3 linked regions of the Danio rerio genome follow. The protein of the gene in region 1 binds, or shares a complex with, the protein of each later gene. Links are inferred from orthologs where the notes say so. Each region holds a gene or a part of one and is shown on either strand. Other genes may lie near its edges.

Region 1 (10,887 bases):
AAAACTGTATGAAATATAAATGTGGTTGGTTATGTTTACATATAAAGACATTTGTTAATACAACAACGTCTGAGGGTAAAACAAGTATCGAAAAACAAGTCACTCAAAAACAGGAACAACATTTTAACATTTATAAGTATGGTTTTATATGCAGTGAAGCTTGACGACGGCACGGCGTCCAATAAACATAGGGCATTACCTAAAAGCAAACACAACTCACCGAAGTGGAGAACGATGAACGTCGCTGTAGCAACAAAGACTGCCAAGTCTTTTAAAATAATAAAAGTTAAGGTCAAGGAACTTAAATCGAGCTTCTAGCGAAACCTTGACCTTATAAAAAGTAGCGTGTAGCTATTATAAAGAAAACAGAGAAGGAAATGAAAGTTTTCTCACTAGTTCCCTATTTTCTTAAAGGGACAGTGCTTGAAATCCGGGCTGTCCACAAATGACCCAATCCGACTGGAAGAGAACCTGTTTAGCTTGCGCAATATTTGTGAACAAATTTGATAAAGAAATGCTAACATTGTTATCAACATAACACAGTAACTAAGCATGTTTCTACACATGGTTGATTTTAACATTCATCCATGACAAAGCTTAAAATGTAAGACTTTGAACCAGTAACAATTAAAACCAAATGTTCTTCCAATGTGCCAAGCATTCCTTTTTAACATGAAGAATCTTCCATTTACAGTGAGGTCTGTCAAACTTTAAAAAAAACAGGAAATATTTTGTTGGAACTGAGATTAGTTAAATATGTGGTGCTTAAAGAAGACAATAGTGACGCATGTCCTCTAAAAGACCCAGTGAAACTGATACTTTAAATAACTAAAAATACATTGATTAATCATCCTGACACAACTTTATAAATTACTTTCAGAGTATAATACCCAGCTGAAAAAAAACGGCTTAAACCAGCCTAAGCTGCATGGCTGGTTTTAGCTGGTTGACTAGCCTGGTTTTAGAGGGGTTTGGCCACTTTCAAGCAGGTTTCCATACATTTCCAGCCTGGTCTTAGCTGGTCAGGCTGGAAAATAACCTGCTAAAACCAGCCTGACCAGCTAAGACCAGGCTGGAAATGGCTGGAAACCTGCTTGAAAGTGGCTAAAACGCCTCTAAAGCCAGCCTGGTTGACCAGCCACTGGTTTAAGCAGTTTTTTTAGTAGTGATTTCAGAACATTGCTTTGAATAAAGAATCAGAAAATGACAATGTTACCCGTTTATTCACGATTTATAAATTCTAGACAGCCTTATTCAGTACACCGTATTACGTAGACTACACTATTATAAAACCAAGCTTAGTAAATTCTATCCCTCAGTTTCCCCCACATGTGACAAGTGTAAAGCTGCTGAGCACATCTTTTTTGGTCCTGTGTTCAAATTCAGATTTTTTTTGGTTAGAAATATTTCAGTACCTTATTAAGGTTTGCGATTGTGCTTTACTCCCTGACCCAATGATGGCAATGTTTGGCAGCTCAGATTTTCTGGAGACTTAACCTAAATGTACGGTTACCTGTTCAGAATGGCATGATAGCTAAAAAAAAAAAAAAAGTTAACCTTGGTTTCTGGAAGAAAAATGCCAGGCCTCTTTTTTCAGACTGGGCTTCTTGGACTTCTAAGAACTCTGCGAAATTTGATAAAATGTGGAATCCAGACTCTAAAACACCATAAAGATTAATATTGTTGTGTAATTTCTGAAGATTTGTAATCCATTTGCAAGATTTTTGCATCCATTGCTGTGTATTTTTGTAGGTGATATATGTCTAATATGTCATTATTTTCCCTTGTTTCATGCTTTATTTTACATTAAGCACAGATTATTGTTATATGATGGTTTGTCTGTCTGTTCCTTGCTTTTCTATGTCTGCAAAAACGATTTAAAAATATTCAAGAACATGACAAAATGGTAAACATTTTTATTTTGTTGACCAATAAAGAAAGATTTAGTAAAACGACAGAAATAACAATGAACAGAGCCAACATAAAAAGTTACCAACAATTTCACAAGGATATCAATTCTCAAATTTCTTCAACAAGACATCTTATTCCTGTCAATAACTGCTAAAGCCAACACACTCATCAACTTCTGAGGTAAAACATCCAATCATCTCCTCCAAAACGCTTAACCCCTCACATGGCATATCTAACAGAAAGTCAATATGTGTTCATATTCACTTTAGAAGGTATATATCCATGGGCAATCCTGTCAGATTTCCCTGTTTGGATGTCCAAATTGTGCCCACTTCTCCCATAAACCCCATCATCCAAGGACTTGATCCCCCACCCTTGGAGTTTATATAAGATTATCCAGTTCCAGCAGCAGCTTTCCTCATCACCTCCTCATCCTGAACCGAGAGCTCTGTGAGTTTTCGGCCGAGTCTCTCATGCAAGTCCAAGTATTTGGCCACACAGCGGTCCAGACAGACAGCTTCCCCCTTCGAGAGCTCCGCTTCCTTATAATGAGGGGGAACACATTTCCTGTGACACGCGTTGGTCATCCTGCATAAGGAGAAAGAAGAGCGGAGATGAGATTATATGCTTTGGTTGAACCCATCTGTTCACATTCACTCATCTTCAAAACTGTTATGTTCATAAGCAGGCAGCACAGTGGATGGCACAATCGCCAAAGGTCAATGGTTCGACTTCGAGCCCCAGCTGGGTCAGTTGGCGTTTCTGTGTGGAGTTTGCATGTTCTCCCTGTGTTTGTGTGGGTTTCCTCCGGGTGCTCCGGTTTCCCCCACAAGTCTAAAGACATGCAGTACAAGGGAATCAAGTAGGCTAAATTGTCCAGTGTATGTATGTGAATGGGTGTGTATGGATGTTTCCCACAAATGGGTTGCGGCTGGAAGGGCATCCACTGTATAAAACATGTGCTAGATAAGTTGGCGGTTCATTCCGCTGTGATGACCCCAGATTAATATAGGTTAATAATAATGAATGAATGTTTATATGCTGAATCGGTGCAGGGAAACTACATTTTCCATGATGCTGTACAGACTTTCCACCAATCACAAAGCTCCAGCGAGGAAAGCACACATTATTGATATTTAGCTCCACACGCTTCCATGAAGAAACAAAATATGTCAGATATATTGTTTCTATATAGAGAGCCATTCAGTTTTAAATAAAAGATATACATTTATCTGATGTTTTTTTTTAGAAATTGGGTTCACAGTACTTCATGATGTTGTAGCTCTTACCAAATTACTTGACTTTTGTCAAATTTTCATGTATTTTACTTTTGATACACATTCAGATTCTCCTTGCAGCTGTTTGGTTTGGTTCATGGCTTATAATTCTTTACCAATGATCATTTCTAACATTTTAATAAATAACATGAATGGGAAAAACAGTTTTGGAACAGCTGAACAACGGATTTAAGCACTAATAACGTCCATTAACTCAATCCGTTATTTTATAGAGACTACAACAGTAGGGCTAAACTATTGACAATCAAGGAGTAAAATTGTATTAGGCATTAATACTATCTGAAGAAACACCTGACAACAGGGTTGCCAAATCTGTGGTTTTCCATCTGGTTAAGGTTAGACAAATTGCATCAATTGTATTGTAGGGTTGTGTTGAAATATTTTGCTCTCCCAAATTTATGATCATAAAAACTGCTAGGATGATGAAATGGAGTAAGCACACTTTTGTGAAGTGCACTAGAGAAGAGACTTTGTGTAACTATTTTCGTTTCCACAATAGATTTGCAGGACCCTTCAAGACTGTTGCTAAATTATAGCAGCAAAAATATGTGATCTGGAGAAGTCAGTCGATTTACAATTAATATCTTGAATGTATAACATTCATCAACAAGCTGTACTGTCAATTTCAGTACATTTCTTTATGATAACATAATCTTTATAATTAATAATATATTATTGAGTTTGGATATTTTTATTATAATAATATAATATTATTAGAGTTGTTTTGGCCTACCTTTTTGCTCTTCCAAACACTTTTTTTCTCTCTCCTCAGAAATAATTCAATACATTATTTTTTACCACCATTTTTTCATGGTTCAAGGAATCCATAGAAAATTTTAAATATTTGTATAATATCAATATAAATATAATTTATATGGGACATTCTACCTGAGATGTACATCATTCGTCCTTGAAATAAAAACAAATAGTGAATATAAAAGGATTTCATCCCAAAAACTTTCTAAACTGAACCGATGGTTGATTTCTGTGAGTTGTTCTGTAAAGGAATATGTCATTCATTTGGTTCTTAGATTTTTGCTCTTTATTAAAAACATTTTACACTGTATAAACCCTGTCATCCTTGTCCTCAGCCCAACTGAACCTACAGTGTTAATACTTTTGTTATGCTATAAACTGTTATTTAGGGGGAAAAAACTTTTAAAATAGCAAGTTTAAGTTATTAGCATTCACACTAACTGATTAAAACATGAAACTATAAATAAATTCAACAAAGAAATACTATTTTACAATTGCCCCCATGTTTCTGTCAGTCCTGTTACATTTATATTAAACTTAAAATAAAATGCATGCAATACACCTTTAAGGCTATGACTCGTTTGATGAAGAAGCTGACAGTGATCAAAGATGCATTCTATCAATGAATTGTATGATTTCATGCTTGTTTTTGCATGATTTTTTTGTTTTGTTTTTTTTGTTTTTGAGAAAGAAAAGCTTAAAGGTCAGGTCTTATCACATTTTTTATAAGTGAAAATGTACTTTTCTGGTAGAATGTCCCATATTATAGTACCAACAACTATACCTTTATATTTATAGCATCTATAACAAAATGTAACTTGTAATATTGACATTATGTAACTAGTAATTTTCAACAAATAATAAGAGAAATATCCATCAAATTGAGTAGGTGATTATCCAGCCCAACCACATACAATTATTAACTCTAGACTTTTACATAGTAGGAATAAATGCATAGGAATGGCAAATATTTAACTTCATAACAACCGAACATTACATAAAACACTCAATTAGTCTTTTTTTCACTTAAAAAGCTCTTCACAAGGATATACCAATGTCAATGTCACAGGCATTTTTATATAACATTTTAATACACCAATCTAATATAAAGCATACTAATAACTAATAATTGTGTATTTATACACAAATGTTGACTTGTACATTGGATCAGCGCATACATTTTAATTAAACACTCAAACTTAACTTTCTCAAAGTGACAGAGGACAAAAAAATGAACCTGACGGTTCAAGATGTGCAGGACTTGAATGCATGGACCTGTCACTGCAATAGCAATGCTCGTAATCTGATGATACAGGTTATTGCAGCAAACATCAAGGATTATATAGATTTACTGAATTCTGCCCTAAAATGTCAAATTATGCGATCTTGATCAAGGCCTGGTGTCTTAATACACATAATAACGTTATACTACAACTAATCGTAAAAAACAAATAGCTACACAAACTACTGCACAATAGCATATCTGATGTCTGCATCAATAATGCAAGTAATGTCACACAAATAATTTTTGTTGCATATGAATAAAATCTGCATACCGGTTGTACATGTCAGCCATCATCTCCACCTCCAGCTCTGCGGCGAGCTGCTGCGCTTTCATTGGGTCCATTTCTGCAAACGTCCTTTCGGTTCCCCCTCGACAAAAACCCACCGGTCTGCGCGCGGATCCCGTTCAACAAAGAGCCCCGACAGCCTGCTTTAACCTTCAGTGTCTGTGTGCTTGACCGGAGAAACAACCCACGTGGATCCTCCTTTCCATCCAGCGTTGTAATTGCTACATCCGCTGACAATAAAGTTTTCTATTGAAAAGTGAGACGCCTCGTGGTCGGTCCGGTCCGCTGCTCCGATACGTCAACGCAGCCGCCATCTTAAACCGGTCATCGGTGCGCTGTAAACAGACGCAACTGAACGGAGGAGCTGCTTTTTCTCGGATATAAAATACAATAACGCTTACATTTATTGACTGATTATAATTTCATATTGTGAAAAAACCTAGGAGAAAGAAAGCTCAAAAGTGTAATGTATATTTTATGGTATATATATATATATATATATATATATATATATATATATATATATATATATATATATATATATCAATAAATAAGTAGTGCTGGAATCCTCTTTTTCCCCCTAACAGTTTTCTAACATTTAACAAAAACAGTTTATAAAAAGTAACGATTAAGAAAAACAAAAAGCATTATTATAATAGTACAAATTCCATACAATAACGTCTGCAGAAAGAATTCGATTGACATCCCCCTTTGTACATGCCATTAGAGGGGAACACCAGGGCTGCGTCCAAAACAGCATACTTCCATATAATACAGTACGCTAAAATCAGTATGCGAGCCGAGTGGTATGTCCGAATTCATAGAATTCGAAAATCAGTATGCGAGAAGTACCCGGATGACGCATCCCATGCACACTGCGCTATCCCAAAATGCCTCGCAAGAGAATTCATGAATGGAAGTAAAGCGACGCAACCGACACAGGAAGGTCATGTGATTATGACAAAATGGCAGATGTAGTACGTCCGAATTGATTTATTATTTTTTACATTCATACTGTATAGAACGTACTTTACTAACGACCGAGTAGTACGTTTAAATTCAAATGCAGTACCTACTGAATAGTAGGTGGTTTCGGACGCAGCCCAGGGCATTATTTATGCCGGAACATTATTTATGCCTGGCATCTCATTTTACCAATCCCCCTCCTCTACCACCCTCCTCCCCGTCCGCTGTTCACTTTCACTTTCTTCCGCGACCCCCCTACCCCTGGCTCTTCTTTCACTTTTATCCATGACGACCAACCCCCCTTAAAACTTTAGTGCGCGACACCTCTACATCCTAGGGTAACATGCCGGATTTGTAACCCCAATCTGTTCCTGGACCTTGCAATTCACAAGTCCAAAAACTTAAATCTCAAACACGAGGACTAAAAAAGCTTTGATATTGTCATGTAGCACAAGTCTATAAGCATGTTAACGAGAGAGCACACACTATCCACGACGTAACCAATACAAGCTAATATAAAACTGTTGTAAACATCACATGCATAAATCACAACATGGACATTACATTAAGTAAATGCAGCCTTAATCAGGTTGCAACTTCAGTTGTGTCGCTTCAATCCCATTCATGAATTCTCTCGCGGGGCACCATGGGACAGCGCACCATGCATGGGATGCACAACTCTCTATAGAAGTAGTAGGTCAGGGGTGTCCACACTTGGTTCTGGAGGCCCAGTGTCCTGGAGAGTTTACATTCAACCCTAATCAACCACACCTGAACCAGCTAATTAAGCTCTAACCACATATACAAGAAACTTCCTGACAGCTGTTGAAGCAAGTTGGAGCTAAACTCTCCAGGACTACCGAGGTTGGACACCCCTGCAGTAGGTCATCAGGGTACTTCTCGCATACTTATTTTCGTATTCTATGAATTCAGACATCCATTTGGCTCGCATACCGATTTAAGCGTAATATACAGTATGGAAGTATGCGGTTTCGGACGCAGCCTTTTCTTTTTTTTGGATCTGCCACTATGCTGACACACAGGCATTTGTAGCTCCGCCCTCTTTTGAAAAGACCTCATTTGAATTTAAAGTGACAGTCACAAAAATTCACACTTAGGGTCAAAGTCTAAAAGGAGCAGTTTCAAAGAGTTATAAAACATTATTTGTGGGGTGTTTCCAGCTGAAACTACACATACATGCTTTAGAGATATAAGCGACTTATTTTACATCTTTCTTAAAGAGGACCTATTATAACCTTTTTAAGAAGAAGTCAGACCAACAAAATTCTTTCTTAACGTATTATATAGTTATTGTTTTAAATACGACTAAAATTGACAGAATTTTTAGACTAAAAACCTTTCTTAAATACACACACGTACAGCTATTTATTGTCAGTTTATCAACTCAGTTATAAAACAAAAACATTCGTTTAAAATTAAAGCTATTTTTGTTAATGCCAATATTAATCTTCTTCTTGAACATCTACGGTAGTATCTCAAATAATTACCACACATTCAAGTGAATATGAACTTATATATAATGTAAATTTATTTTAATTACATACTTTTAATATGTAACTTTACACATGTACGAGACAACGGAAAACAAATTGATAGGCTTAATCTCTTGACAACAAACTGACAAAAATGATTCTTCTCACCATTTGATATAATCAACTCGGGGCTTTGAGAACTTTGCTCAAACATCTGCTATTGACAACAATTATTAAGGTTAATAAATTGTAACATGAACATAAAAAATTCAATCAGTCTCCTCTCCGGTGACATCCACCTCCTCCTCTTCTTCATCATCCTCTGACTCATCCTCTAGGTCCAGTGGACTCTCAATGGTCAATCTGACGATCTGTCTAGCTGCCAAAAGCCCTAAAGGAGAGCCAACAGACCCTTCTACATCTACCTCAATGTCTTCCTCATCAGGCTGAGTGTCCTCTTTTGAATCAGAGCTGGGCAGCAATGTTGAGACCTCTTCAGTGCACACATGTGGCTTCTCAATGCTTTTAGCTTCAGTTTGGACACAAGCAGCATCTGTGCTTATTATTTCCTGTGTGTTTTTTGCTGTCAGCACTACAAGGACAAAACAGAAATCGAGAATATTAATTATTATTATCAGAGAGGAAATATCCACACTTGAAAAAGTAAACCTTAGGTCACTCTATAAGCCCAAGTTTTCTTGTTAAAAAGTCACTTTGAAATCATGATTTACAATGTTGAGCAATGTTTTACTAGTGAACATTGTTATTTGTTTGGTGAATAATTAATCTGTGCAAGTTAATACACTGGAAAAAAAGTTAGTTTTAGTAATCTTCAATCAAAGTCTGACTATTTGCTTCTGCGTTTGGAGTGGTGGTCCTTCTCTGATGACATCAATTTGAAGGTACATCAACATCAGTAGGAAGTACATCAACATACTGAAATAAAAGTCATAGCAAATTCTGACTGACGCAGACTTGAACATATTCAAACATCAACGTATAAATACTTCGATATAATATTCAATCCTGGGTATTCTGATGTGTCACACTGTAATCTCCTGGGTTATTCTAATTATTTGCAGAGCTTGCTGTCGCAATTGGATGAATGCAGCATGTGACTTGTCTACATACTTTATTGAGCACTGTTGTTTTTCATGTTATACATTGTAGACCAGGGTTTCACAAACATTTTAGCCCGCGACTCCCAAAATAACAATGCCAGTGACTCGCGACCCCCAATATCCTCTGAGGTGGGTATAAATACAGAAACCTTGCATGCAAAGGTGCGCACACACACACACACCAATTGACCCATGTCTATACTTCGTTAAATTTTTTTTAATGTATGCGAGTGCTGTAAAGTGCCAGAAAGATGCTATTGACGTATCTGATGCTATTGCTGTGTCTTTAATATAATGTAATCACCCCAGGAGTCCTAATCCAATTGAACTAGTAACTATAAGCTACTATAGTAACTTTATAGTATAAACTACTATTTTATCTTCAGTATCTTATTGATAAAATATGGTAATTCTAATGGTTTAATATAACTAATTTGATTTTTGGAAATTAACAAGCTCCGTCTTCATTGTCCCAACCCCTACTTTTTAAACCACTGTTATAGACTATACTATGAAGTTGACAGTAAAAAGCTGGCCTTAATCCCAACAGTGGAAACATAGATAATGTGAGGTACACGTTTGTCTGTCAACTGCTAAGCATCCAACCAATAATATTGAAACACTGCATTGTTTGACACTGGTTTTTCCACAGCAGTAACTACATAGCATTGGTTGTAAACCTGCTTCTGCACTTTAGGTGTAAAAGCCAAAGTAGCGAATCAAACTAAAGCACAAAACTGGAATATCGAATAAAACATTTGTGATGAGTTAAAGAGATGATGATAGTCACTTCCTGATAAATTACGCCAAACACCAAACAGAAAAACTAAATTTGCTGTGGCAGGAGACACCGCTGTGGGCCTTTTTTCTTACATAATAAATTAGTTGCCTCAGAAATGCAATGAATGGTGGCTTTTGGAGGTGACTAAATGAGTGCAGATGCTCAAGAAACATCTGAAAGATAATCAGTGCTTAATTTGTAAATGAATGATTCCCCGAACAAAACCAGGAAATAAAAATTACCGTGACTAACATCCGCCAAACAATTTCAGTTTTCCCACAACACGACGTTACCAAGCAGTTATAGTGAAAAAAGCATAACATTTCTAAACGGTCTATAACTATTATGTGCCATATAATGTTATGGGTCAACCATTAAAAAAAAAAAAAAAAAAAAACATGCAGCTACAAACATAAATTGTATAAAACACCACGATTCAGTTCATGAACATCACTGGCATTCAGGTCATTTCATTATTATGTGCCAAGCGAAAATAACTCATACACATCACCCTGGCTACGTTGTTTTACTTTCTCAACAATAAAATGAAAACATGATTTAAGGAACTGCCTATTTTCATTTTGATATTAGCAACTTAACAGACAGCAGAAATGTTGAGGCGTCGTGCTGCATTTATGAGCATCATCTTCACTGTGTGGATATTTATAACAAGACAGAGCCAATAACAACTGCCTCCTTTCATTTTCATTGAAAATACGAAACATACCCTTTCTTTTGCTGAATATCAGTTTTAATAATCGATAATGGCCATTATAAAAGTATAACATACAATAAGTTTATACATTATAGGAAATAAAGGCAAGCGATCAGTCAATATACAGAATGTAGGCTATGTGGGTACATTAATTATCAACCTATCTTTGCGCTTAGCCAAAACGCGTTATCTGAGAACAGGTAATAGATTCCAATGACCAAAGTCTGGGAATATGTTGTTAGACATAGACAACAAGATGAATGAAATATCACGTT
Region 2 (9,873 bases), on another chromosome or scaffold:
TATATATATATATATATATGTAAAAATAATATAGGTAATAAGAATAATATAATTATTTGTGATAATTAATTATACTAAATATATTAATGATGATAATAATATTAGTTGTGTACAGTATTCAAATATTGTGAGGCTTTAAAACGATAATGGTAGGTTAAAGACATTATTGGATATTTAAAAAAAATTACATTGTTAGTAAATGGGTATTTGTTTGAAGTTGGTAGTGCTGATAGTAATAATTAATGTACAACATTCAAAAATAATTGTGCAATATTCAAATGATACAATACTTTCTGCTATATTAAGAATACTAATTATGATTGTCCAATATTTAAATATTCTGAGACTTTCAAATGATAGAAATAATTATGTTTTCTTTTGATACTTTAAAAAAAAAAGATAAATACTGTTTTATCTTAAAATAATGTAATAAAATGTGATTATTGACATTAATAGCACCAGCAACATTATTATCATTGTTTCTAGTTTTATTAGATTTGATCACAGTATGGTAGCAGACTTGGTTTTAAATAGTTCATTTCACTCAGTTTTCGATCTTGTTTATTTGATAAATAATTGATTAACAAAAAAATGCATTAAAAGTAAGATACAAATTATATCAAAACAATCGTATCTTTTAACGAAAATGTATGTAGAGTTCGAAAAGTGGTTGTTTGACCCACTTCTGGCATACTGCCTTCCTATTTGCCATGCCTTGATGTTTACAACCAACAAATTGAACAACAAATCAAAACTCAAGTAATATTTTAAAACATGGCTTCAACAATTATCTCATGTCCTTTCATGCTTTTTTCTGTTTATCAGGTTTGACAAATGTTTAAAAAAAAAAACAATACAAATAAATACTTAAATTTAGTAAACATTTAATATTTGGGTTTCTTCTGGGGGTCTAATGGATCACGCCCTACGGTTTGAAATGCACAATTCACATACTAATAACTTTTATTTTTTTTAACTTGCCGATTAATCCAAGATTATAAATGATGATTTGCATACATGTATTCATCATTTGAGGTTCACTTTTAACACTTTTCAGTTAGTTTCAAACAATCAAATAACCCAGATGTACTGGGAGAACAGCCTATAGTCTAGATATTAACACTGATGTTTATGGTAAAGATTAAAATCACCTTTAAGGCAACTTGACGCTGTTGAATGTTGTAGCAATTACATAATTTAGCCAATAGGTGGTGACAAACTTTTTAAAAAATGCCACTGAACAGATTTTCAAAAATCTAGTAATGAAACATGAAGTTTTATGTGTGAATTATTGAATCAATTGAAAATGAGACTAAAAATAAATTTGTACAAGATAAGATTTGTACAAGATCTTTTGCATTATCAGCAACAGTAGAAAAAATAATTATTTCTTGATTTTTATTTAATTTAATTTTTAATTTAAGTTCTGTTAGAATCTAAAGTTTCTTGCAGTACTTTTTTGTAATTCATGGAAAGCTCAAGACATTTGTCTGCTCCCTTTTTTGCTGATCTGAGTAACTGACACAAACCGCTGTGTGATTCGAACTGTGAGATTTGTGATCCGTCACACCAGTGTTTCTCAACCATGTTCATGAAGGACCACCAGCACTGCATGTTTTGGATGTTTCCTTTGTCTGTCACACCTATTACAGGTCTTTCAGTCTCTGCTAATGAGCTGATGATCTGAATTAGGTGTGTTCGGTTACGAAGACATGGAAAAAGTGCAGAGCTGGTGGTCTTCCTGGAATGTGGTTAAGAAACAATGCGTTACACCAATGTTTCCCAACCCTGTTCCTGAAGGCACATCAACAGTACACATTTTTAACCTCTTTCTAATCAAACACATCTGAACCAACTCATCAGAACATTAGGAGGGACTGTAAAGCCTCAAATTAATGGGTCAGATCAGGGAGACATCCAAAACATGTATTGTTGGTTGGTGTGCCTCCAGGAACCAGGTTGGGAAACACTACGTTACACCACTAGTTTCTCCATTTGTTGTCCTTTGCACATCACTGATCTTTGCTGATCGTTATAACAGTCTGATATGTGACTCAAACCATAGTGAGATTAGTTACACCAGTGTTTCCCAACCCTGTTCCTAAAGGCACACTAACAGTACATATTTTTGTAACCTCTTTCTCAAATCAACTCATCAGAATACTAGAAGAGACTACAAAACCTCAAATAAATGGGTCAGATAAGGGAGACATCCAAAACATGTACTGTTGGTGTGCCTCCAGAAACAGGGTTGGGAAATGGTTACATCATTAGTTTCTCTATTTATTGTCTTCTGTGCATTACTGACCTTTTGACCTCTACTGTTCCACAGTGTCCCATACCACAGCGTCCACCTCATCAGGCTCCTCGGACACGGGCATGAGTCCGTCTTCAGCTTCGCCCACGCAGAACACTGTGGCCGTGGAGTGCAGGTGATGTCAGGCGGCATCCGCTCCACCTCCGCCTTCCCAGAGTCCCGCTGACAGCAGCACTCGACTGCCCACCGCCTCCACCTTCTGCACTTTCAGACCTGATCCTGCCTCCACCAAACGGGAAAACGGACTCCACGCGGGGCTTGAATGTAAATCGATGATATCAAAGCTTACGATTGATCCATCCAGAGCAACACGACGGCACTTTTCACTTCACAAACGCTGAACAGACCAGGCAACCTCCTCTTACTGCTTCAGACCGGAGTTTGGATGCAGTAGTCAATCCTCCAGTCACATCCCTAGGTAATGGTCACCTTAACCAGCTGGACATGGTTATTCAATGAAAGGTCAATTGTAGCGCGCTTGTTCCATCAGAACTGCCAAAGTAAAACGTGTTACAGCAGAGTGCCCTATTTTGGAAAAGCAGGACAAAGTCAGTTGCAAAAGGGAATGTAGTTTACTGAAAACTGCAGCCGGCGTCTTCCACTTCTATCTTAGTATGCGAGCACAGAGAATTATGCAAATCCTATTTTTGTCGTCTCTCGTTTTTAATAAAAAGAAAAAAACGTAATAAATAAAGCGGAAATGTTTACAGTGGAACTCGAGATGAAACTGTTTTCAGTGGACTAATTTCCTTTGCAAGTGCATTTTGTCTTTTTATATGTAATCGCAGAGTTTTTATTTTTAGTATGGAAAATTTCGAAATATTATATCGCAGCCGTGAAGTTATTTAATGAAAGATTTCTAGCGCTGAATTTTTTTTTTGTGTGTGTAAAATAAAAGGTATTATCTTGCAACTTGTTAAATATATTTATTCAGTCGGCGGGCGGCATTTTTGTATTTTTTACAAGATGAGAATCGCAGTTGTCCCGCGTTCGGTTCGCTTGGGGGGGGGGGGGGGGGGGGGGGGGGGTCAAATTTGTGGGGTTGTCTTGAAACTCTCTGAATGTGACGTCACAATTTGGGTAACTACTGTGCAGTAAACCGAATCCTCCCCACTTTCTTTTTTGTTCGTTTGGGCCCAAAGCTACTTTGAGGGAACACCAGAAATTGGTGACATGCTCCTTTTTTTTCTCCCTCTCTCTCCCAGTTATTACCTGGTACTTTCGAATTCTTATTTTCATTCTTGACCAATTAAATAAATGAGTTGCTTCTCTCAACTACGTTAAGCCCAGGGGTTTCTTACTGATTGTTCCTTTTGTAAATAGAGCTTTCAAAAAAACCATGTATTTGAAAAATACATTTTACACAAACTGTAAAAAGGATTTATATTATTTTTTAAAGCGTACATCTTTGTATATTAATTAATTTCTCCTTTTCTATGTCCAGTTGTTAGGAGCACTAGCACATCTTTAGACTTCTGTATATAATCAACCATTTAGGAACCTAAACCCAAGCTGTCTAGAGTGACCCATGATGACTATGTTGAACATTTTATGCTGTAGGCATCGATTCATTCACTGCGATGAACTTGCTTCCCTGTGACTTCAGTTTATTTACAGATTCCTGGATGAAGGAATGAAGGCATTAGGTTCCTAAGCAAAGCCATTGTACTTTTATGTAAAATAAGAAGAGGTCTTCTCATTTCTAATAAAGTTGTGAAATATTAAGAAGTTATTCAGATCTTTTCTCTATTAACTGGTTGATCCATTCAATTCAGGCTTTTTTGTATGGCACTTCTCACAATAATTGTTGGATATCACAATAATGATCCAATTAAAATATACAGAGAAATTATTTGGACCCCTTTTTGCCTTCAGAACTGCCTTAATCCTTCGTGACCGATTCAACAAGGTACTGGAATTTTTTTCTCAGAGATTGTGGTCCATATTGACATGATAGCATCATGCAGTTGCTGCAGACTTGTCGGCTGCACATGCTTGATGCAAATCTCCCATTTCACCACATCCCAAAAGTGTTCTTGAATTGAGTTCTGGTGACTGTGGAGGCCATTTGAGTACAGTGAACTCATTGTCATGTTTAAGAAACCAGTCTGAGATGATTTGAGCTTTATGAAATGGTGCGTTATCCTGCTGGAAGTAGCCAACAGTTAGCGGTGACCTTTCTATCAGCTCAAACCAATCTGGCCATTCTCCTCTGGCATCAACAAGGCATTTGCCCCCACAGGACTGCCGCCAGCTGGATATCTTCTTTTTCTAACCATTCTCTGTAAACTCTAGAGATGGTTGTGTGTGAAAATCCCAGTTGATCAGCAGTTTCTGAAATACTCAGACCAGTCCGTCTGACACCAACAACCATCCCATATTCAAAGTCACTTAAGTCACCTTTCTTCCCCATTCTGATGCTCTATTTGAACTGCAGTAGATCGTCTTGACCATGTCTACATGCCTAAATGCATTGAGTTTCTGCCATATGATTGGCTGATTAGAAATTTGCATTAACGAGCAGTTGGACAGGTATACCTAATAAAGTGGCCAGTGAATGTAAATCCATGTATACATAATTACAGGAATTAACTTAAAGTATTTGCATGATTGTAGATATTTTCACTTCAACTACAAAATATAGCTATAATTTTTATATAGTTATTTATTTAAATTATTGTTTTTGTCATTGAATTGAAAATATCAGATTTTTTTTTTGTTTCTTGATCAACCTATACTTGTATATATTATTAATAAATTTACTCGGGAATGAGATGTTCATAACATTTTATTTTTGTAGCATGCTAACATAAAAACAATCAAGATCTTTCATGTTATGTGGCCGACCTGCTTAATGTCCCGAAAATGAGGAATGTCTTTCCATTTGGGGGAAACCAAAAATCCCATCAGTCCAGATATCTGCAGGCAGACAGTAGAGGACTTCTCCCGGTATTATCTGCAGTCCTGAACCTCTGAGGGCCCGTTTGGAGACTCCTGCTCTGTGCTGGAAATACAGAGAGCCTGGCGTAATGGTCTGGAGTTCAGTCCAGCAGCAGTCTGTTATCGTGGTTGTGCTAATAATCCGGCTTTGGCGGCCAACGCTTCGTTCTGCTGGATGTGATATTCCTGGAAGCGCATGGAGATCCTCTGTGTCATCTTCAGGTACTTCTGCAAGCAGCTCTCAGAACATGTGGTCTAGAAGAATGTTGATACTTAAAATTAAGATGTAGCTTTACATATAATGAATAAGTGTTTTTATTTTTTTATTTATGGTGACATGACACAAAAAACATTGCAAAAAATGTTTGTTATAATAATTAAATTGTAAATATTTTTCTCTTGCCAATTAACAAATCCAAACTTGTATTTATATATTATTAATGTTTTGACATGTATAGTTATTTTTAACACAGACTTTATGATAAACATATAGATCTGAGATATATCTTGAAATCTCAGATCAACCAGGTATTGTGGAAGGACGATTTTGGGGGTAAAACCTTGAGGTTTTACCAAAAACTGTGAGATACAAGCTTGCTAAAGTGTCACCGTCATTAATCAACTAAACGCAGTGGTCACCAAACTTGTTCCTGGAGGGCCGGTGTCCTGCAGATTTTAGCTCCAACCCTAATCAAACACACCTGAACAAGCTAATCAAGGTCTTGTTAGGTATACTTGAAACATCCAGGCAGGTGTGTTGAGGCAAGTTGGAGCTAAACCAGCAGAGACACCGGCCCTACAGGACTGAGATTGGTGACCCCTGAACTATAATAACAACTGTGAGGAAAAAGTTTAAATCTAAATATTTAATGAAACAGAATTTTACCCTGATAACTGTTATTTTGTCATTTTAATATTATAGTTATTTGTTATTTTAACAAATATAAATTCATTTTTTATTCCTCTGAATTATTAGAGAAAAAAAAGGCAAATTAGTGAATTCTTATCTTTCAATATGGAGGTCAAAAAATCTGATGTTATTCTCATAAGTTTAAATCCCACAATTCTAAATTTAAATAACTTGATTCTGACTTTGTCTCAGAATGGGATTAAAGCTCACACTCCTGTGGTGGAAACAGCTTGTTAGACAAGAAAAAAACTGACTTGATTTTATCCTCAGGAATTGATTAGATGTAATGTGTATTTATAGAGCGCATTTATTGTGTATGGTCATACACCCAAAGTGCTTCACAATCATAAGGGGGGTAGTCTCTACACTCCACCACCAGTGTTGCATCCTCTTGGATGATACGACGGCAGCCACAGGACAACGGTGCCAGTGTGCTCACCACACACCAGCTATTGGCGGAGTGGAGAGAAAGTGATAGAGCCAATTCGGTGGATGGGGACGATTGGGAGACCATGATCAGTAAGGGCCGATGGAGGGAACTTGGCCAGGACACCAGGGTTACACGAGAACGGGGACCATTACGAGAAGTGCCATGGGATTTTTAATGACCACAAAAAGTCAGTACCTCAGTTTAATGTCTCATCTGAAAGACGGTGCTCACTAACAGTATAGTGCAGGGGTGTCAAACTCAATTCCTGGAGGGCCGAAGCCCTGCACAGTTTAGTTCCAACCCTGCTCCAACACACTTACCTGTAGGTTTCAAACAAGCCTGAAGGACTCAATTAGTTTGATCAGGTGTGTTTAATTAGGGTTGGAACTAAACTGTGCAGAACTGCGGCCCTTTTGGAACTGAGTTTGACACCTGTGGTATAGTGCATCCAATTTACTATACTGGGGCATTAGGACTCACACAAACCACAGGCTGAGCGCCCCCTGATGGTCTCTCTAACACCACTTCCAACAGCAACTCAGTTTTCCCATTTGGTCTCTCATCCAGGTACTGACCAGGCTCAGCCCTGCTTGGCTTCAGTGAGTAACCAGTCTTGGGCTGTGGCCATAAGGTAAAATGGTAATACAAAGAAGCAAAATGATCTCCTCTTCACACCAGTGAAATATTTTTGGAGTCATCTTGCATATCAGACAGGTCTTTCACAGCCACCATTCAAAATTATGCCTCGAGAATAGCATCTCAGAGCTGTGGTGTTTCACAGGGTCCAAAACTCATTACACTTGCTGCCTCTTGTGCAATAAATAGTTTAAGTATTATCTTTGGTATACAAGTAAGAAATTAAAAAAAAAGCCTAAAGATTTGTTCAAAATGGTTTTAGCATTTAAATCATAAACCATTTTGAGGGTTGTAAACAAAAACAACGGTCCCAACGTATTTCCTGTTTTACATTTTTAATTTCTGTAGCTTCCAGGAATCTAAAAAGAGACAAATATTGACAAATAATGTTATAATAGCTGTTTTAACATTACGCTATGATTGAATTGCCTCTGTTCAGTTATGAAATAGTTTGACAACAAGCAGGAAATGTTTATGGGCCAATGACATGACCACATTGAAATGGTCTACACATGGACACGTTTAAAAAGCTGCAAAAACACTCAATTAAACTTGATTTAGTCTTAATTTTTCTTTCTATTACTGTTTAACCTTTTAATGTATGACTTCAAATAATAATAATGCATTTTATTTAAAGGCGCCTTTCATGACACTCAAGGTCACCGTACAGGACAGGTAAAACAATCAATTCAAATAAAAACACAAAAACAATAGAATACTATACAAAACAATGCAATCGGGTCAAAGAGAATAGGCTGTTCTAAACAGATGTGTTTTGAGTCTGGACTTAAATTGTGAAAGAGTCTACATTACGGAGAACAGGAGGAAGTGAATTCCAAAGCTGAGGAGCAGAGTGGCTGAAGGATCTGCTCCCCATGGTGACAAGGCGGACAGAGGGAACAGTGAGGTGAATGGAAGAAGACCTGAGTGTTCGAGAAGGTGTGGCGATATGAACAAGATTAGCAAGGTATGGAGGAGCGAGATTGTGGATGGCTTTTTAAAGGTGAGAAGAAGTATTTTATAATTAATTCTGTAAGAGATGTGAAGCTGTTGTAGAATGGGTGTGATGTAACCGACAGAGGGGGTTTATGTGATAATACGGGCTGCAGCGTTTTGTACCAGTTGTAATTTATGAAGAGTTTTTTTAAGGGAGGCCAAACAGAAGGGAATTACAGTAATCTAAACGGGATGTGACTAAACTATGAACAAGAATGGCAGCTGAGTGAGGTGTGAGGGAAGGACGTAAACGATTTATATTTCGAAGGTGGAAATAGGCGGACCGGGTGACATTATTAACATGTGCAGTGAATGAAAGGGTGCTGTCGAAGATGACCCCCAGACTCTTAACCTGAAGGGAGGGGGTAATGACAGAATCCTCTGTGGAAATGGAAAAACTATGGGATTTATTTAAAGTGGATCGTGTACCTATAAGTAAAAGTTTAGTTTTATTGTCATTTAATTTCAAGAAGTTTGTGGTGAACCAGGATTGTACCATAGAAACAAAAATACTTGCTTACAGAGATATTGTTGAAGACGCAGGGTAAGTTTTACTGATTAAAGGTAATTTTGATGCCATTTAAAGTTTAAACATTTGAATTCTTCATAAAATCACATACCTCCTCTGGCTTGACCTCTCTTGTGGTGAAATCTTTCACACAATCCATGAAGCAGTTCTCTGTCAGTTTATTGTAGGTTCCCAGGAATTCCTTAAACTACAAAATACAATAAACAACTCAAATTCAAAACTATATACATTCAATAAATATGCATGTGTGTGTGTGTGTGTGTGTGTGTGTGTGTGTGTGTGTGTGTGTGTGTTTTCTCTTACCTGTTTGATCTGATCTGATTCAGTGACCTGAGCTGCCATCGTTACGATGCTTTAAAACAGACGAATAAACAATTAACATAAATCTTTCTGTTGTCAAACAGTGCAGAATCTCCTAAAATAAATGCAGAATCTTTAGTAATAAAGGCCTCAGAGCAGTGAGAGGTGAGTGGCTACATTAGCCTTTAGCATCATGTACATTTATCACAGCGACCGTGCAGAAATGCCTCTCAAATTGAATGCATTAATATTCGCGTTACGATAAATAAGATTTTGACGGGAAAAACCGTATAAATAAGTAAAGCATGTGAAAGTATTAAAGCTGCTACCTTTGATGTAAGAGCTCAGACTGTGAAGGACATGTGAGAACACCACTGACTGAAATTATCAGCTGCTTCACAGCGGCACTTTCGCAACAAATAAGAGCCCTCTCGATTTATTTATTTATTTAAATGTTAAGTTTATTGTTGAGCCCTCTCGATTTAAATTGTAAAATCGTATATTTAAAATCCGTAAAATTGATTGGATGTGTATTTTATAGCTATTATTATTATTATTATTATTATTATTATTATTATTATTATTATTATTATTATTACCATTATTATCATTATTATCATTATTATCATTATTATTTATTTTACTACATGTCACTTTATATTATATTACTACATATATTATAAATCTGTACCATATAAATTATAAACACATATCCAATGTACAGATAATATATATTATTTGTTCTGTCTATACTGCACATTTTGATGAAAATAACTAGGTATGTTGTAAATGTTCCCCAAATGTATTATTGCACA
Region 3 (11,373 bases), on another chromosome or scaffold:
AAATGTGCAGCACAAGGACTTCCATGATAACTTATTAGTGTTAAAAGTGGCTGATCTGTTCGGCAAACTATTTTACTGCGTGTTACTGCATATCAAAAATATATAAATTATATAACTAAAATGATCTCCACAGTGCTGGGCGAGAGAGCTTCTCTTCCTGTTAAACTGAACAGTTGCATCATCAATGACGTAAGTGTGCTCTGGCTCGGAAGGCAAAATGCAGTGTGTGTGCAGGCCATCGTGGGAAAGGGGAGGGGGGACAATCATGATTCGGCACGGTTCAAGGAAACTACCTAGTGTGAGTACGCCCTCAGTTACCTTTAAAAGAATTTGCTTTATTGTAGCATACAATATACCAGATGAGCAAGTATAAAAGAGACTGATCTAAACTTCAATTTTACTGATTTTACTGAATTGAACATGCAGTCCTAACTAAGCCTTTATTCTGTAGATCTTCTTACTGGCAGCCGTGATTTCATAAAGAACTTTGAACATCCAAGTGTTTCACAAATTATTTATAGGCCCTTTATTGTTGAAAGAGCTTCTTAAGAAAGAAACGATGGCTCTTGGAAGAACTGTTTTTATAAAGTCGTTTAGGGAGGCAAAAATGATTCTTCAGCATCACTAGAAAAAACATTGGAACTTTCATTTTTAACAGTGTGAAATTTCTAAAAAGCATTCAAGAGTTGCTTCAACTCATTTTTACAAAGTCTTCCAGTGCTGTTTTGCACTATGAAAGGCCAAAATCATTTAGAACGACCAACAACTTCTAATTCTCCAAAAAAGAAAGAAGCATTACATGTTTAGAACAGCACAAAGGCAAATTAATTAAAACAGGCTTATGTTTTTGTCAGTACCATCCCATAAATATTATATAAATATTCCTATTTTAGTATCACATGGCTATGAAAAAACTAAAAGTAGCTTCAGACAACGAAGAGCCAAGGATCCATGAAATATAAAGACAAAGCAAATGCAAAAATGAATGAGTCGCCTACCAGTTTTCCATCTCCCTCATCATTCAGCCTAGTAAAAAAGCAAACAAGACAGCAGCGACACTACCTGAAAAACATGGTGGGCTTCCACTCCATTGCTTCCCACTGCCTAGTTATCTCAGATCAGTGAGCTTGAAGGCAATAAGACAGGGCAGGGACAGCACTTTAAAAGCACTGGGACGCAGCGGTGGTGCGTCTGAGCGGAGAGTGTCTCACAGAGAGCGCTGCACTGTTAGGAAAAAGCTCCTCCATTTTAGCAATCAGCCAATGTCTTGGTCCCTGTGGACGCCCTGATGGACAGACAGAGTGCTTCAGTACATTATGAGGATCGAGGCACATCAGATACCGCTGCCCCGAGGCTACAGCAACATCCTCCTGGCGGCTGAAAATCTTTAGTGATTGGATAACGGCAGCGTGATAATGCTAAGTGACCATTTCAATATACAACAGTTTATAACAGTGGAGAAGTTAAAAGGCCGTCGTTAGGATTGCCTGAAGCCACCTAAAGGTCTGGTCTCATTAATACTCGTCTCCAGTGACACGCAATATTTCTGTTAGGCAGTTTGTAAATGCACACTAATGAGATTATTATTTCAACATTGACTGTAGCGAGGTTGAGTTACACCCCGGACTATTAGAAACCTCTTGGAAAGGGCCTCCCACACTTTCATTAGCGCATCTTAAGTGCTTTTCATCATTAAGTGCGTACTAGTAGACTTAACTTTCATTATTAGCTCTATCGCTGAGAATATAATCTGGTTTAGCTTGTTGCGAACGGGTCAGTGCAGCGTTCGTATGGTTTATTGCAGGAGAGCCGCACATCAGAATGAACAATCTTCTTTAGGAGCTGAGATACCAATCAGAAAAAAAAGAGCACAGAATGCAGCTCCATGAGCCAGCGAATCAATACCAACCATCTTAGGAAGGACTGCATGGGGGGAGCGAGTGAAAGACTAATGGGGGAAGACAAGCCAGAGAGAGGAAGAGTAAAGAGATTAATGTAAAAGAGGATTTCCCTTGAAAATGAATCAAAGTCAGCCACTGCAATAGAAGGTCAAAGGTAATGGGATTAATGGCTATAATTAAGCCAACTCTCTTTTTTTTTTACATGAATTCCTTTTTTTTTTTGGAAGGCAGCAAAAATGTTGTTGGTTAGTAAAGTGAATGGTCAATCAGCAGTTTATTTGCCTAAAAACGCAGTGGTCATATTGTGAAATATTGTTACAATTACAAATGGCTGTTTTTATTCATTCATTCTTGTTTTGGGCTTAGTCCCATTATTAATCAGGGGTCGCAACAGTGGAATAAACCACCAACTTATCCAGCATATGTTTTACGCAGTGGATGCCCTTCCAGCTGCAACCCATCACTGGGAAACACCCATACACTCTCATTCACACACATACACTACGGACAATTTCAAGAGTTGACACTTAGCTGATGGTTGATTTTAAAGCGAGTAATAGAAGAGAGCCCAGAACTCATGAGATCCTTGAGCCCAGGGCTCCCTCTTGTTTGCAGTTTGAGCTAAGGTAGGTCTCGAGAACTTCCCTGCTTGTTTCAGGTGAATGCAGGTTAAGAATTACTTTGGCGAGATATATTGCTGAGGAAGCGCTCGTCTGTGGTGTCGATTTGATTTGGTCAATTTACCTATGTAACATGTCTATGGGAGGAAACCGGAGAGCCCAGGGGAAACGCACGCAAACACAGGAAGAACATGTAAACTTCACACAGAAATGTCAACTTTGCCAGGTTAAGACTTGAACCAGTGACATTCTTGCTGTGAGGCAACGGTGCTAACCCCCGGGCCGCCCTGTCAAGGAAAAAGGGGTGGAAGGGAGGATTCTTCAAGATGAAGATGCTACGGTGCTCTGGTTTTTTTATAGTGATTTAGGAATCATCTAATTGGTGGATCATGCGTTAGCTAATGCAGGACCAGCTCCAGTCAATCATAAACACGAGTCTCAAAATTAGTTTATGAATAAACTTCACTTAGCTTACGAGCAATTTTATGCAAGTGTCAACCATGCCATGAAAAAAAAGCAAGTTTACATAAAAATAGCAAAATAATTTCTTTGTTTTTTGTGGAAGCAAGTATTTACTTTAAAAAGTACTCAAAAATGTCTCGGTCAATGTTTTCAAATTATTATAATTGATTTACCAAAGTCACACAAGTACCAACATTACATCTGTCACATCCATAACACAAGCTTTTTTCTTGTAAAGGCAAAAATGTCAAATCAAGTAAAATCAATAATTTTTGTTCTATTGTGAGCCGACACTTATCCCTTTAATTAGCATCATTTCTTTTGGTTGCATGTTTATTTTAAAATCTAAAACATGTTCACAGATTGATATTTTCCAGATCCCATAACTCTGTGGTTAGTTGTTTTGGAAAATATAAACTGTTGCTTCAATATAATGTTAACGTATACTTTCTCTGTTTTTTTTTTTATGCGAATTTATGCAAATTTCACATCCATAACACTGGATGTACCCTTACCCAATTCAGCTTTAGCACGTCTTTGGACTTATGGGGGAAACTGGAGCACCCAGAGGAAACCCACGCCAACATGGGGAGAACATTCAATTCAGTTCAATTCACCTTTATTTGTATAGCACTTTTACAATGTAGATTGTGTCAAAGCAGCTTCACATAAAGATCATAGTAAACTGGAACAGTGTAGTTCAGTTTTTAGTGTTTTAGATTCAGTATTTAGTGCATGTTTCACATAGAAATGCCAACTGACCCAGCTGGGGTCAGTCACCCTTTCACCCTTTAAATTGAATACTTTAATGCCTAACAAACATTTTATTACTATAAAACATTGAAAAAGGGTTGTACTGCTTAATATATTTGTGTAAATATTTTTGCGTTCTCTGCTGAAGAGAAACGTCTAAATTATTGAAATGTATGTATATACATTTATATTTAATCACATAACTATACAATGAATATAAATTGTAAATCCAGAGACATAGTGGCAAAAGGTCCAAAAATAAATAAAAATATCGAGACACTGCCTCTTTAGCTCTCAAAAAATTGAAATGTAACAATTTTTAAATTTAAAAAATAAAATAAAATTTAAGAGCTAAAGTGGCAATGTCTCAATTTTCCTTTGACCTTTTGCCACTGTGTTTGTTTTTGATCGAGCACCTGCCACCTGCCATTGAGAATCCTACATGTGCACACATTTCTGTTTTTGGATGCTTAAATACAGAGACATACACATTGAATTAATGGTTTTAAGTTATGTATTTTAAAAAAGCTGTTTGTTTTATACCACAAACTAATGAAATCTTCCAAACTAAATTCTTCCAAATATATATATATATATATATATATATATATATATATATATATATATATATATATATATATATAAATATATATATATTGCATAAAATAGCAAAAAAAAGGTGCAATGTTTTTAGTCTTATATATTGATCAAAGTAAGGGCCTACTCAGACTATGCTATCCGAACCGTATCGGGATCATTTGAGAAGTGTGAGTTCGCTGAATCGGGCTCAGGCACGGTTCACTTGGCTGGCCCTGGCCCTGTTGGAAGAGGTGGGCCTGAGCGGGGTTCACTTGGGTTTTGACACGAGAAGTTTGCAGTGTGAGTGCCAAACACGTTTAAGCCCGAAACTGAAAACGAGACGTGACTTTAAAGGGACTGTTTCATATGGATTTATTAATCATTCTTACTGTTTAATGAGCGCAAACTCAGTTTATTAAGGACCAAACCCCTCACTGCACGACAGCTGCGCGCCTTCAGCAGACCTCCTCATTCCTGCAGCATGAAAGCTTTGTGATTGTTTATGAGCGCCAAAAGTGGCAGATCTGTACGGCGAAATATCTGACTGCGTGTCACCGCATCCCTAAGGACTGTTTGGCGAAATATTTGACTGCATGTCAACGCATAACAAACGACTGAAACTATATAACTAGAGAAATCTCCACTGTGCTGCTGAGTGACAGCGCTTCTCACTGAACAGCGCAGCATCGATGACGTAAGTGTGCCCAGGCCCGATTGTAGTGTGAGTGCAGGCCGTCGGGGGAGACAAGAGGGGGGACAAGCGTGCTTTGGCCCGGTTCGAGGCAACTGTACCTAGTGTGAGTACGGCCTAATTTAGACAACACAGCTTAAAATTAAGAAAGCAACTTTTCACATTTGTTTACCCTTTGTTTTCTGAAAATGCCATTTTAAAAAAAATAATAAAACCTTTAAATAACAATATTTTAGGAAAATTTTTTAAATAGAATTCTGAACAAAACAAATACACACAACATTATACCTTTGCCTAAATATTGTGTGAGTTTTCCTTCACTGACGGAGAATTAATCAACTTAAAAGACATTCATATTTTTGCTGAGCTGATGTAGTACTAATAATCCATTCACATAACACAATGTCAGCATATACTGCAGCTGTTTTAATGTACTTGTAGGCAGCAAGTCACACTTTTCTGCATATCTTTAGTGGTAAAATGTTTCTTTACTTGCATAAACACATTCTAATCATCATTCCTCGTCTTTAGTAGTACAAGAATGTCTCCTACTACATTCCTTGTTAACAGTTGATCCTTCTTGTATGAAAAACAGCATTAATTTTACCACGTCCATCAATACATTTATGCTTTGATGCTTTCTTTTCCTTTATCAGCTGTGTCCATGTCTTTCTGTACACCCTCTAACTCACTGCTCTCCTCATCCATCACAACAGCTTTCCATGAGTCCTCATGCAGCTTTTCGTTTCTTTCAGTTATTTGTGGTGATGGTGGGACTGTTGCCACCAGAGCGGGAGGAAGATGTTTGAACTCCTCCTCGTTTATATCAAAGTCCTTCATTTTATGATCAAGCACCCACCAGCGTCCCGCAAAGCCCACGTCCAGCACACGCTTATGCAGCTCGGACCAGGGCACAGAGATGGCAGAGCATCGCGCTTCATACAGGCTAGACTCAGCATCGTAGTCTGCGTAATAAGTCAAAGAGGCGATGCCCAGACTGGCATAGCGCAGCCTGCCCTCGTTTCGCAGCTTCACAAGGGTCTGGATGTGTCCATCTGAGGTGCCACTGCGTATCCATGGCGACAGGAGAGCTAGGCGGTTGGAGGTTTCCAGCAGGCTGGTCTCAAAGGAGGAATCATCAGGGTTGGTGTAACAGCAAGCGTACATTCCTCCCAGAACACCCAGGTAGACTGAAGCTTTGAGGGGTCGATCACGGGCCCCTACCACCGCCTCACGACAAGCCTCCTTATAGTCAGTTAAAAGACTGCGGAACCATACACCTGAAAACAGCCGAGAGATTAACAGAGTTTAGACAAACCATTCACTGCTGGCTAGACCTAAACTGCGTTTCGTTGCATTGTACTTGTACATGTGTAATGACAATAGTTTAAAAGTTTAATCGAATCTAAAATTCAGTTTATATAAAGTCATTTATTACAATTAAAACAGTACGTTCACTCAGATATTTTAATTACGTCTTTATATAGTCAGTTTTTTTTTCTTTAAACCTACTTAGTCTCTTTAGATATTTAGAATAATGCTGAAAACACAGTTGTGATTGACTATTATGGTATTTTCCCCATCTAAGAATATCAATGGCTTCCAATTGCAACATTTTTCAAAGTATCTTCTGCATTTTTTAAGGGATGGAGCTATATTTTAATTAGGAATACTACAAACTGAAATACATTCTTAATGCTATACTGTAAATCTGAATGAATTATAATAAAGTTATTGCATAAGTTGCTGCTGCGGTTATGCAGGTAAATGTTAACATGTATACATTACCCAGAAATCAGATAAATACAAGAAACTTACACTGGACTAGCGTATCTGGGTAGCTAAGGGTAATATCAATCTTATCTTTAATACTCATTCCAGAAATGGGGAAAATGATAAGCATTTAGTCTTACCTGCGCGACCGTTTCTTAGCCTTTCCCACCGTGTGCCCTTGGCTGTCACTGTAACGTTAGCTGCCGTGGAGCACCATCTCTTCAGCAGCCACGAGGCGGCCATGTTAGCAAATGAACTCGAGTAAGTGTGAAAGTTCAGAGTTCACGGTGAATGTGCACAGGAAGAGGTTTCAGCCGAGAGTTTCCAAATCTTGATAAACGTAATAGTGCTGCATGGTGAAACTGTTGAGCCAAAATGGCGAGTACACGGTACGTGAAATGTTATTGTTCCGGAGAGGAAACACAAAGTTCCTTGCCCCATTCCACCAAACAAAATTTTGCCCCGTTTTGTCAGTTATAACAGATGTCAATCGAAGGTCCATACGGACTAAGACATACACATTAATAACAGTATACTAACGCTACAACACTGAATAGAAAAGATAAAGTATGTTTAATTAAACAATACAATAGTTTGCATAATTTCAATCACATTAAGAAGAAAAACACAATTCCATGTTTTATAGCTAGTAATAATAGTTTATAGTAATTTTATCATATTATGCTCAGGTTGTTTTCAATTCCCATTCAGGTAGCCAACACACATTTTAGTTCCGGCTTTGTTCCGGTCACGTGATTGTGTTTTGACGCAGCGGAACCCTGCAGGTGACGTGGAATATGGGGACGATAACGCTAAATCCTTGTGTATTAAAACTGCATCAAATGATTTCTATCTGTAATCGAATCGTTTGCAGATATTATTGATCCCACTTAGCCAAAGGGTGTTACAAAACACCAGCCGAGCTGACAAAACGATTGTTTTTGTATTTGCTAGCTCGACACAAGCTGAATAATAGCAGCATCAGGAAACACACTGCTGGATTATCAGCCAGGTGAGTGAGTCAAGTCTAAATCTGTTCAGATTTCAGTGGTAACAGCTGTCGTGTGATTAAATTATTTGTAATTTACAGTCGTTTTTCCCTTGAAGAGTGAATTCGTATGATCTCCAGTCATGGCTAGTCCAGATGATTTAAAGTTTCAAGGTAAGGATTGTGTTCATCTGTAACGTTATGTACCTTACTGTTCAGGTGTCTCTGTTTTAATCTGTTTTAAGTTGTGTCTGTTGTTTTTCACATGTTCAGAGTTTGAAGAAGCCGAAGATCTCCTGTCCTCAAATCCTGGAGCCTCAACCCTCAGCATCTCCAGCTCAAACCCAGCAGCAGCAGCAGCCCCATCTGGAGAGGTCAGACTCGACCTGTCCGACGATGAAGAGAATCAGCAGGAGAGTTCAGAGGTGACACGCCAAACAAAACGGTCACAACATATCACAAGCAGCTAATTTAGTCACTCACTGGTTGTTTTTCCACATTGTGCAATATTCTCCACAGTTGCTTGGAGGGGAAAAGAAAACTGGTGGGTTTTGGACGTTTGAATACTATCAGTCGTTCTTCAACGTAGATACAGTGCAGGTGTGTTTCTTTTTTTTACCTCTTCAGCTGTGGTAAATATCTGAGTGTGTTCATTATGGTACAAATGTAATTGACCGTAATTTAGGTACATTGTTTATTCATTATAGTTACAATTTCAAAATGCATTACGTTTAGGTGTAATAGTTTTTTTTATGCTGACAAAACAAGTAAAACATCGTGGTTTCTATTAGAAAGATGCACTGTGCTTCTTTTTAATGTCTTTTTCTAAATAAGTCCTGATATACAAACTTGAAACACTGAATAAATAAAACAACAATTTTGTAAATCATTTAAAATGTATTCTTGTCAAGGTAGTTTTCGTCTGAAGAATAAAACAAGACTTTATCTAATCTAGAAAATGAAAAAACATATGAAGACATCATTTGCAAATACAGAATCAGTTTTTAGACATTTTTGGGTATTTATAACTTATCAATACTCAAAGTAAACATGATTTCTGAAAACTATTAAAAAGCTACAGTTTTAGTCATTTCCATAAATCATGTTTTTTTTTTTGCAGCTGTACTCATCAATGCACAATATATAAAACGTGATATCTGAATTTTAATAAAAGTGGAGTTAACTGTTTTTGTTAATAAACTCTTCATATGCTAACTAGTATTTCCACCAAGTAATAATGGTAAAAAAACAAAACTGCACTATAAAATATAATGTTGTCCTCTTAAAATCTAATTTCTTAATATATATTTGATCAGATTACTAGCAATCTAAAGGGCAATCCTGATTTCTTTGTCATGTACCTACTCATAGCTGTCACACTCAATTATGTACATCAACAGCTTGTGTCTTGTATATTACAGATAATATTATTTTCATCATTGTAGGTGCTGGATAGGATAAAGGGCTCAGTTATGCCTTTGCCAGGAAGGAATTTCATCAAACATCATATACGAAGCAACCCTGATCTATATGGTAATGGACCATGTTTCTCAAATCTTCAAAACATGCCCAAATTATAATTATTTTTTGTTTATATATAAATATATATATATATATTTCACTGTATTTTTGCTTTAGTGGTTTATTAAGCAACTGACACTTTTTGTTCCCTTTCTCTTTTCAGGTCCTTTCTGGATCTGTGTGACTCTAGTGTTCTCACTGGCCATCAGCGGGAACCTCTCCACATTTTTGAGTGAGATGGGAAATCCAGAGTATCACTACAGACCTCAATTTCACAGAGGTAAGATGCCTGTAGGAATGGGAAATGAGGCTATGTTCATGATAACAGTGTAATAAAAACAGATTTTTGTCCATTGCATTTTTAAAAGACTCATACATTGAAAAATCCTTCTTTGCTAAAATATTTGATTTTGTAAAAAAGTAAAGTATATATATATATATATATATATATATATATATATATATATATATATATATACACATCAATATTCCAATAAATATGAAAACTACTGAAAGCCCAAATTAAATATTCCATTATTTTGTAGGCTGGGATAAATATTTACATGTGAACCAAATGACAATTCATGAATTTATGTGTAAAATATATTGTCTAATTTATAAAAACTACTGGTGAAAATTTCTATTTTGACCTCAAAAGTAAATTACTCATAGTAAATATGTAATATTTTGGCTTTCTTTTTTTGTTTTCTTTCTTTTATTAAAAAACAAAACACTGGTTGAGTTCAGAATTAACCCACTATATGTAAAAATATCATAGATAAAAGGTTATGAAAGGATGTTTGTTTTTAAAGTCATACATTTTTAAAAGGGGCTTCATGGGTAGCACGATAGCCTCACAGAAAGATGTTTGCTGGTTCGAGCCTTGGCTGGGTCAGTTTTTCTGTGGATTTTTGTGTGGAGTTTGCATGTTCTCCCCATGTTTACATGGGTTTCCTCCAGGTTTCTCTGGTTTCTCCTACAGTCAAAAGACTTGCACTGTAGGTGAATTGAATGACCATAGTTTATGAGTGTGTGTGTGTGTGAATGAGAGTATATAGGTGTTGTGGCTGGAAGGGCATCTGCTGTGTAAAACATGATGGATAAGTTGGTGGTTCATTCCGCTGTGGCAACACCTGATTAATAAAGGGACTAAGATGAAAAGAAAATGAATGAATGTTTAAAAGGTAAAACTGCGCTGTGTATGTGAATTGTTAGAATTTGTAGAGAAAATTGAATTTTCAAACTACCTTTGTACACACACCCAAAACACCCTTTCATGAAAACATGCATATTCCGAGGATTATTCTTATCTTCTATATTGTACAATTGTTTTGGGCTGGACAATAAAGAGTTTTGCTTACCTCTTGGGAGGGAAATCCACCTGTAAATTACAAAGATGTTGAAGTCAGTGAACATTAAACATGTTTATGATCATTTATTTTTACATTTAAAAAAAATCTTTTAGAAAATCTTATTTCCTCTTTAACTACACATTATACAAACAGCCTGCCAGTCAGTGAATGTGAAAGTCAAGATCTGCTTTTAATCTGAACTCTTCTTCTTGTAGTCTCCATTGCAGCAGTCACGGTGTTCCTCTATGCATGGCTGGTGCCACTAGGAGTTTGGGGCTTCCTCACGTGGCGTCAAAGTGTCGAGAGACAGATCAACGGATACACATTTTTAGAGACAGTCTGTGTCTACGGCTACTCTTTGTTCATTTACATTCCTACCTCGGTAAGATTGGGAAAATCTTCAAAAGCACACAAACAATCAGCCTTGTTGATTTTAGACGCGGTAAGTGATGCTCCATTTGTTTTTAGGTATTATGGACTATTCCTTTCAACTGGCTCCAGTGGTTGTTGATTGTGGTTGCAATGGTGATCTCTGGTTCGGTGTTGGTGATCACGTTCTGGCCGGCGGTTCGTGATGATACTAAACTAACGGCTTTCGCCACTGTGGCTGTTATCGTGGCACTTCACGCACTGCTGGCTGTCGGCTGTAAGGTGAGAGAAACTCTTTAGAGGAATTTTTCAGGCCTGATACACCTTGGCTGATAAACAGAACAGTCATTTTTACTTGTCTTTG

What was found.
Region 2: the proteins of timm10 (region 1) and timm9 are in contact, whole or in part, in a crystal structure (PDB 2BSK), measured with the Homo sapiens proteins. The link is inferred for Danio rerio from reciprocal best matches to the Homo sapiens genes TIMM10 and TIMM9. Residues at the interface, in NP_036588.1 of Homo sapiens: Glu16, Met17, Asp20, Met21, Arg24, Ala28, Cys29, Lys32, Cys50, Arg53, Cys54, Ser56, Lys57, Tyr58, Asp60, Ile61, His62, Arg64, Met65, Gly66, Lys68, Leu69, Leu72; in NP_001291414.1 of Homo sapiens: Lys15, Leu18, Gly19, Tyr21, Asn22, Lys23, Thr25, Glu26, Cys28, Phe29, Leu30, Val33, Asp35, Phe36, Thr37, Thr38, Arg39, Glu40, Val41, Glu45, Thr46, Glu50, Leu53, Leu57.
Region 3: the proteins of timm10 (region 1) and timm29 are in contact, whole or in part, in a cryo-EM structure (PDB 7CGP), measured with the Homo sapiens proteins. The link is inferred for Danio rerio from reciprocal best matches to the Homo sapiens genes TIMM10 and TIMM29. Residues at the interface, in NP_036588.1 of Homo sapiens: His30, Arg31, Lys32, Cys33, Pro35, Pro36, Leu43, Ser44, Lys45, Gly46, Glu47, Ser48, Val49, Arg53; in NP_612367.1 of Homo sapiens: Asp181, Asp183, Ile184, Asp186, Phe189, Leu192, Leu196, Arg197, Val199, Gln203, Leu204, Ser206, Asn209, Glu210, Leu212, Phe213, Asp214.

The regions. Positions count from the first base shown.
Region 1 is NC_133176.1:47,643,828-47,654,714, reverse strand, and holds timm10 (mitochondrial import inner membrane translocase subunit Tim10), read right to left. Parts: upstream 5,772-10,887; 5' UTR 5,593-5,771; coding exon 5,522-5,592; intron 2,500-5,521; coding exon 2,304-2,499; 3' UTR 1,205-2,303; downstream 1-1,204. Other genes in the region: uncharacterized protein, read right to left, coding at 8,265-8,587.
Region 2 is NC_133192.1:12,569,655-12,579,527, reverse strand, and holds timm9 (mitochondrial import inner membrane translocase subunit Tim9), read right to left. Parts: upstream 9,477-9,873; 5' UTR 9,388-9,476; intron 9,111-9,387; 5' UTR 9,101-9,110; coding exon 9,062-9,100; intron 8,946-9,061; coding exon 8,850-8,945; exon of another isoform or gene 8,659-8,849; intron 6,879-8,658; exon of another isoform or gene 5,513-6,878; coding exon 5,378-5,512; 3' UTR 5,088-5,377; downstream 1-5,087. Other genes in the region: arid4a (AT-rich interactive domain-containing protein 4A), read left to right, coding at 2,333-2,436. UniProt on the Homo sapiens protein: Mitochondrial intermembrane chaperone that participates in the import and insertion of multi-pass transmembrane proteins into the mitochondrial inner membrane.
Region 3 is NC_133178.1:33,030,172-33,041,544, reverse strand, and holds timm29 (mitochondrial import inner membrane translocase subunit Tim29), read right to left. Parts: upstream 7,033-11,373; 5' UTR 7,023-7,032; coding exon 6,920-7,022; intron 6,287-6,919; coding exon 5,631-6,286; 3' UTR 5,412-5,630; downstream 1-5,411. Other genes in the region: protein YIPF2, read left to right, coding at 7,911-7,941, 8,041-8,192, 8,287-8,367, 9,213-9,300, 9,452-9,568, 10,856-11,022, 11,109-11,291. UniProt on the Homo sapiens protein: Component of the TIM22 complex, a complex that mediates the import and insertion of multi-pass transmembrane proteins into the mitochondrial inner membrane.